2 linked regions of the Kluyveromyces lactis genome follow. The protein of the gene in region 2 purifies or fractionates together with the protein of the main gene of each other region. This does not show direct contact. Links are inferred from orthologs where the notes say so. Each region holds a gene or a part of one and is shown on either strand. Other genes may lie near its edges.

Evidence for each region.
Region 1: the proteins of HFM1 (region 2) and MLH2 purify together in Saccharomyces cerevisiae (affinity purification with western blotting; 3 studies listed by BioGRID, with this or other methods). This does not show direct contact. The link is inferred for Kluyveromyces lactis from reciprocal best matches to the Saccharomyces cerevisiae genes HFM1 and MLH2.

Annotation. Positions count from the first base shown.
Region 1 is NC_006042.1:1,583,931-1,587,952, reverse strand, and holds MLH2 (mismatch repair protein MLH2), read right to left. Parts: upstream 2,637-4,022; coding exon 804-2,636; downstream 1-803. Other genes in the region: POM152 (Pom152p), read left to right, coding at 1-739; DPI35 (Dpi35p), read left to right, coding at 2,884-3,807.
Region 2 is NC_006040.1:980,588-984,855, reverse strand, and holds the start of HFM1 (DNA helicase), read right to left. Parts: upstream 2,817-4,268; coding exon 1-2,816. Other genes in the region: RMR1 (Rmr1p), read left to right, coding at 3,428-4,268. UniProt on the Saccharomyces cerevisiae protein: DNA-dependent ATPase and 3'-5' DNA helicase. Required in the control of double strand break transition and crossover during meiosis. ATPase is slightly better stimulated by single-stranded (ss) than double-stranded (ds)DNA.

The sequences.
Region 1 (4,022 bases), on a different chromosome or scaffold from region 2:
TTTCACCATGCATAATATTACGGCTGCTAACTTTGATTACAAACGATTGTATGATGGCCTCTCGTTGGGAAATCATTTAGTAAGCATTGATAGTGTTACTGATGCAAACGGTTGTATCAATGACCTATCTTCGAGTGGTAATCAGATTTCAATATCAATAACAGACGTTCCTAGGATATCCCTAGCAGACTCTACCATGGAATATTGTGTTGGGGATTACGTTGGATACCAATTGAGTGGGACACCTCCATTCATAATAAAGTACGACTTCAATGGTAAGCAGCTAAAATCCAAGGAACGTTCCTCTCAGTTCGTCAGATATGCATCTGAGCCCGGCGTTATATCTATTTTTTCAATCCAGGATTCTTCATCACAATGTGTAGTAGATTTCACAAATCCGAAGATGAAACAAGACTTTGAAAGGTTATCTTTGAATATACATCCAATTCCGTCGGTAACAGTATCACAAGGCCAAGAGATTGTTGAAGATATTCATGAAGGTGACAAAGCTGAAGTTATATTCTCCTTCGAAGGTACACCTCCTTTCGCATTAACCTACGTCCGTACTGAAAACTCTGGCACCAAAAAGGGCAGAAAGCAACAAATTGTTGAAACACACAAAGTTTCCGATATCTATACTTACGAGTACAGAGTTGTGACCAGTCTACAAGGTACATATGAAGCTTTAGAAGTGTCAGACGCCTTCTGCGCAGCTAAGAATCGTGCGTTGTTGGATTGAAATTTGATTTCATTGTATAATAAATAACCATCTTAAAACTCATTTGATCCTTCAAAGTGGTGAACTATAGGGCTATCATAAACCAACCTGTTGGCATAAGAATTAGCTGTAAATCTACATCACTATCTTCGCCTTCCATTAGCGTTTGTATTCCATCCAATAAAGGTAATGAGGGCATGCCGCTCCTGTGGAACCAGACCAATTCCTTCTTATAGGCATTTTTCAAGAAACGAAGCTTCCATGGAACGCTTCGGCCGACAGCTTTGCGACATCCGAGATTGAAAGTATGTTCAAACTGTAAGTCGAGGTTTTTAGTAGAGCTGTTGGTTGCTGTATGCTCAATATCAACAAGGGTTGTTGAATGGTCATATTCTGGATCATTTTCCAAAATTCTTCTTCTCTTGCTTGTTGGTTCTTGAAAAAACTCAGAAGATTGCGTCTGCCTCTGATAGTATGTTTCTAGTATGCCCGAACTTTTAATTTGATCGTCAACTATCTCTGTAGTGTTCCTGGCACGGATCCGAGAAAGAATAAATGGATTTGAAAGAGTCGTATTTCTGGATAGCTCTACGTCTTCAAGATCTCGCTCAATGCAGCAATCCTCGGTGTTCACAATGTCAGAATATAGAAGGTTTTCCCTTACTGGTGAAGATCTACCATCGGATAGCGTGCCGCTATACATGTCTGTCAACCATTCAGATTCCTTCTCGAGAATTTGTTGAGTAGGGTTATTGGTTATTTGCCGGTGAATTTGCTTTGGAATGTCACTTGTATTAATTATTCTACGAGTGAAAATCACTGATTCACTATCAATATGGGTAGAATTTGAAGGATCATTATACTGCATGTGTGGAGCGTAGAAGGTGAGCAGTGAACATTGCAAAATAGATAGAGCTTTTTCCAGTGTAAGTGCGACAGCTTTATTTTCGCCATTGACTACAGCATTGTCGCTAGTATGGTGGCATAAAAATTGAATGAACCATGCCCTCGGTTCTGGTTTCCCGAAATGCTTATAAAATTCCTTGAAAAAATGATTGACTTTTTTACCAAAGCCTGATTGTACCATTACTGCTTCTCCATTAATGCAAGGATATTTAAGATTCGGCATCAATTCTGTCACTCTGCCATGTGTTCGAATTTTGGGCAATATGATATTAACTTTTAGAGATTCACTTAGCTCTATCTCATCAAAGTGTTCGAACTCAACTATAAGATTCTGTTTGGTAACATGTTTTTTGAATTGCGACATCCGGTCTTCATATTTACCAAACCGCGCAACATATTCTAAAGTCTTGATACTTCCGTCCCTTAGAGGATTGACAAGCTGGCAACTAAAACATATATGCTTATGAATCAAAGAAAAATGAAAAAGCATATCCCTAATCATTTTAATATAATTTTTATCTTTCTTTGCCAGTCTACTGCTTTTACTTCCCGTCATTAGGTCTCTGAGAATAACTGTCGTACCCGGTGGATTCACTACCTTGGAAAATCTAATAGTTTCATTTATTCTGATTCTAGGTGGTGACCATTTAACAGCAACATTCTCTGAAATAGTCCGTGTTATCACCTCGATAGATCCCTTCTTCGATGCTGTTTTGCCAATATTATATAACGCTCTTCCTTTGTACCCTATTCTTTTGCATGATTTACCGTCAGTTTTGAAGTGTTTAACAAAAACGCTGCTGCGCTTCTGGACACTTATTCCGTTACCATCATCATTCAATTGGATGTACCTACATCCGCCGCTAGATTCATCTATTTTGATCAGCACTTTAGTACAATTGGCGTCTATCGAATTCTCTATCAGCTGTTTAACCGCCGAGACAGGATTATCAATAACACGGTTTGTTGAAGTGCTATTTTCAAACAGCCAACAATGAAACCTATTATTCATACAGCGACTTTACAATATTTATCCCTGGGCAGAATCTCTACTCCTTTTTAAGGCATCTTTTTATTGTATATCTGCTTTCTGTATTTATATGTCAGATCTAAGTTGATGAACTTCAGAGTACATTCGACCAAGCTTTTTCTGAAAAATGTATACCAAGTTGAACCATTAAAAGAAATAAAACATAGAAAAGCTCTCGATTTCAGAGTAGTAGATTGAAGTCAAGTAACGTTAATCTAACCGGGGAAATATGGTACCGGTAAGAATTCCTAGAGAGGTACTCAAAAATGGCAGTTTGCAGCACTCGCGGCCAAAAATCATAACGTTTGATGCATATAATACTCTTTATTCCATCAAAAAACCTGTAATGGAACAGTATTGTATAGTGGGTGCCAAGTACGGGATTAATGGTAATCCACAAGAACTCACTAAGAGATTTCCAGGGGTTTTCAGTAATATCCGTAAAAAGTATCCTTTATATGGTAAAAATTCTGGTATCACGGCTGAACAATGGTGGGAGTATCTAATTAGGGATATGTTTGAACCAATACAGATACCAAATGAAATGGTAGAAGAAATCTTAGAAAGGTTCGAGGGCGATGCTGCCTATACGGTATACCCAGACGTCAGGGAATTTTTGGAGACAATGAGGAGGAACCATCCTGAGGTTTCTTTGGGGATCGTCAGTAATACTGACCCCATTGTCCTTACGTTGTTAGAGAATTTAGATCTTAAGAAATATTTCGACGGAAATATCTATCTGTCTTATGATCTTGAGATAAAAAAACCCGACCCGGCTATGTTTAATTACGCGGTCTCTCATATGTTGAAACGCCACAACACTAGTGGTCAACGTGAGAACTTGGAAAATATTCGGCCACACGTCTGGCATGTTGGTGATGAGGAGAAAACGGATCTGGGAGGAGCTTTCCAAGCTGGAGTAAATGGAATTCTTGTAGATAGATCAAACTCATTCGGTTACTTCGACATAACAACTCCTGATGTTTGCAAAAAGGAGTTATCAGAAGATGATTTATCTCTGAGGAAAGTGTTACACCATTCAGAGGTTATATTACAAGAATCTGATGCAGTCACTGATGTAGTACAATTAAACAGCAGACAGTATGTTTTACCAAATTTTAAATCATTGGAGGCCCTATTATTTCAGCAGTAGCGGCATCTTAAGATATAGTGCTGTAAATATTTGATTGAGCAAACGACACTCTGTATGATGGACTATCCCTCTCTTAAATTCCACCTTGCGTACCCATGCTACTGTCAGGTTTTGGATTGGAAAAAAAATAAGTGGACAAAACCGGAGTCGAACCGATGACCTCTTCCTTGCAAGGGAAGCGCGCTACCAACTGCGCCATTTGCCCCGACACGATT
Region 2 (4,268 bases):
TCGCAGTCTTCTTGTCGTTCATTGTTAGCATTTGAATTATTTTTCTCCGCTAACAAATTTAATAGCTCTTCATCATCATCTGTTTCATTGTTTATAGTTTCCCTGGCGTCACTGTAATTTATTGAAGTTTGGAAAGAGCCAGTTTGGTTTGAATCAATCTGTTCAAGTACATTCGAATATTTTGGCATATCGTCATAGCACCCATTACTCAAATAGTACCTGATTTCACGATTTGATCCGCCTATTTGCTCACATGAATAGACAAACTCGATAAAATTCGTGTTTCTGTCTACCTGGATGGTTATTCTGAAGGCTTTGGGTGTCTTTAACTTACTCAAGAACGTTCGCCGAAAATCTATTAATATGCCTGTATCAGTCTTCAACATGATCAGCATACAAAGTTGTTGACCATGCCAAGATGCAGATTTAAAATTGGCTTGTACTTCTACTTTAAATGAAACATGGATTGCGTTTTGAGTTACCGTCTTTTCTTCTACACTGTATTCGAGCGATAATAAAGGAATCATTTGTAAGTCACTTTTGATTTTATATCCGTTGCCTGGTCGCAAACTGAGATAATATTCGATCTGTTGTTCTGTGAGTTTTTCCATATCTGCAAATGTACATACTCCGTGACTCACTAATTTCCGTAGTGATACCAAACCAATGGTGTTTAGTTGTCTTAAGATCATCGGAGTATCCTCCCAACCTTTACCGGCGACACTACGCAAAAGAAATAAAGTACTTTTCAATGAATCTCCATCATATTTCTCAATAAAGCAATCAATCATACATTTGAGTACTCGAGGAGCATGTCTGAAAACAAGCATCTTATCCTGAACTAATGTTTGGTGATGTTTTTGTGCATCTTTGTAAGAAGGATACTCTAAACCGCTTAATTCGTACTGGATTAATAACGAAATTTTCTGTTCTTTAGAAGTTATTGACATTAGCTGTTTCTTCTTATCTGTAAATGGGTACCGCAAAAGAGGATTTGCATTGATTTCTCGATACAATTTCTTCTCATTATGCTTCAAACGAATACTATCAAATTCGCTAGCATTGGCCAATATTTTAAGTACCTCAAGCGACTTTAGTGATGTGTTTGATCTTATGATGTTTTTGACCGTATCTCCAAGGATATAGTGCCTAGTCATTGCCTGTCCATATCCAGAAGCACACAAATTTCCGTTGTTGTCAAGGATTATTTTATAAGAAAGAAGATCCTTTAGTGTTCGTTCACAAAAATGAGTTAACTGGCATTCAGCGTCCGAAGTCAGTATACTGCTTCTAATAACACTATAATGAGCTGGATTCTTAAGATATCGTCTATAAAAGAAAGTGTTTTTCAACCAATTCATCGCAGATTTTATCGATGTAATAGAATTTAGTGCAATTTCAGCAACAATGTTTTCGGCTAGATTCAAATGCAAACAACTCTCTAAGGTGGAGGTTCCCTTCAAAAGATTCTCGTATTTTTCTTGGGATCCTTCGTCCGTTAAGATCAATGCGGTCCCTTCTGTTTCAAACTGTGGTCTTCCTGCTCTTCCGATCATCTGTAAAATGTCTAGAGTTGAATATTCTTGGGAACCGTTGATGGACCACATCCTTGTACCTTTAATAATAACCAAATAAGCTGGTAAATTGACTCCGACAGCCAAAGTTGAAGTCGAACACAACACTTTTATGTCACCGTTGGTGAATTTGTCTTCAATCACGCTCCTATCCGTCATTGACAATCCGGCATGGTGGAAAGCAATTCCCTTCTGTGCAATCTCGCTTAATTGTTTGTCCTGTAGTTTAATATTTGAACGTTTACTACTGGTGTTATTCATTTCGTGGTCATGTAGGGCGATGTGTCTTGCTGTTACAATGGTCGATTGTCTGGTGGGGCAAAAAATTAGAACAGGTTTTCCTTTGCTGTGCTTGTTAATGAGTTCGACCAATCTTGTATTAAACAAAGCGTCCATTTGGAATTCATTATTGAATTTATTGTAGAATGAATAAACGTGATGTCTTAACACCACCTGTCGGTAACTGTCATCAAAGGCTAGTACTTTTGCTGGAACGCCAGTAGGTCCTCCAGTTTTCAACCAGTCAGCAATATCATGTATATTAGGAATGGTTGCACTTACAGCAACTATTCTCAAATTTTGACACATTGAATTCATTCTAGTAAGAATAACTTCCAATGTACTTCCACGATGCTCCTGCAAAATATGAATCTCATCTACCAACACAAGGCTCAATATGGCAAAGAACTGAGGATAATCTGTCCATTTCCTTGTTATAACATCCCATTTCTCAGGTGTACATATGATGATGTTTGCGGCTTTTACTTTTTCCAATTCTGTGAAGGAAGTATCACTTGTCAACATTCCAACTGATAACATGATAAACTTCGATTTCCACTGTTGATACTTCTCGTTGCATAACGATTTAGTAGGTGCAATATAAAGCACCTTTACCGAAGAAGGTCTATCGAGCCTGTTCATTGCGTTTAAAATGGCTAATTCAAATAAGACTGTCTTTCCGGATCCTGTTGGGGAGGTGACGATGCAGTTTTCATTGGATCGGTAGATGTTTTCGAACGATTCAGTCTGCATTCTATTAAAATTTTCGAAAGGGAATATACACTGAGCAGAGTCCGGTAGCACTGAAACAGGTAACAAACGGATTTCATTAACAGGGTCCTTTTGTAATGTTGCGATTTTGGGTTTTTTCCTTAATGGACGAGTCAAAGAATTCGAGAAATTAAGCTGGAATGTGGTATCATTTGAAGTGTTGGAGCTACTAATTTCATACTCTTTCGACATGTTATAAGGGCCATCAGTACTTAACTCATCCCCACTATCATCGTCGATGATGCTGTTGTATGATATACCTACTTTAAAGTTTGGGCGGCTAGTTGGCTTGTTTGTTCCATTGTCTTTATGGACGTTATTCGATTGTAAATAGTGTTAGAATTTAGGTACTAAATCCATGACGTTTAAATCAGGTCCAATGCACATTTTTATACATCTCTTTGAACTCGAGGGTTATTCTGGAGAAAGGGTATCCGTTTTTATCATGAGCGTATTTCACTTACAGATTCGGTTTGAAGAATCGGAGGTTTGCTGTGTTCTTTTACCGCTTTTGAAAATTGTATCATTTGAACTCGAATATTCCTTCATCGAATGGTACATATGGGATGTAATGGTATATGCTATGATACTATGAACAGTTCCTAAGCTATGTTGAAGATGGTTTTTGCTTTGAACTGATTCAGGTTGAGTGTTTGTTTACTTTGTTGATAATTTGAAAACATAAAGGGAGAAAACAAAGGAATTATGATTGATGATGATTACAGCCGTGGAATAGACGGAATAAGGGTAAAAGAAGTTGTAAAGAGCTACGGTGTCGCCTCGTACGTGCAAGATTTGTGAGTATGAGCTTGGAGGATCAAGAGGTACCTCGGCTGGAAGAGCTTTCCTCCGTATCAGTTGCGGAACATGTTCCCGAAGCAAACGAAGCTGGTTCTTCTGTTGAAAATGACGAAAACGATGGTATTGAAACTATTAATAGGGACGAACAATCAAGCAGTGGTTCTATGAGCGTTCACAGCGATAGTATAGTCAGTGATTATGAGGACGAGCAGATGATTGATTCTGATGAGGACTTACGGAACCAGTTGAAAGGGTTAGGTGAAAGCGTAAAGGAATCCCTTCCTTCAGCAGATATCCCCGATACGACATTGGAATATGCAGGAGAAGTCTATCCCATGTTTTCTAAAGATAATGATAATGGTACAGATAATAATGAGCAGCAAAGCGTTGTTATTGAGGACAGATCACTGATTCATATGGAGCTTAATTATTTAATTGCTGCAATCAGATTGTTTTTACAGAACAAACACGGGGCATTGTCACTAGCATCCAAGGAAATACTACTTCACTTTCCCAACCTTGACTTGCTGTGTAACGAGGATAATCTCTACATCAAAAAGATGACTATGGACGACATTATTTCCATTTTTAAAGTGCTACGCACGAATTCTTTAAGAAACGGTGAAGAGAACGTTCCTTCTACACTTCGAATTGTAGCAAGTTTGCAACCAAGGTTCGTGTCTAGATACAACGATTTGGTCGAAGTAATGGACAATAATGGGAGCTTTGCAGTGGTGCATGGCTTTTCCAATGATGAGAGTCATCCAGTGTTTGTGGATGAAGGAAATCAAGATGGCTCCAATTTTACTGGCGGCCGCAGTTCTGAAGTTATTGTGATGGACT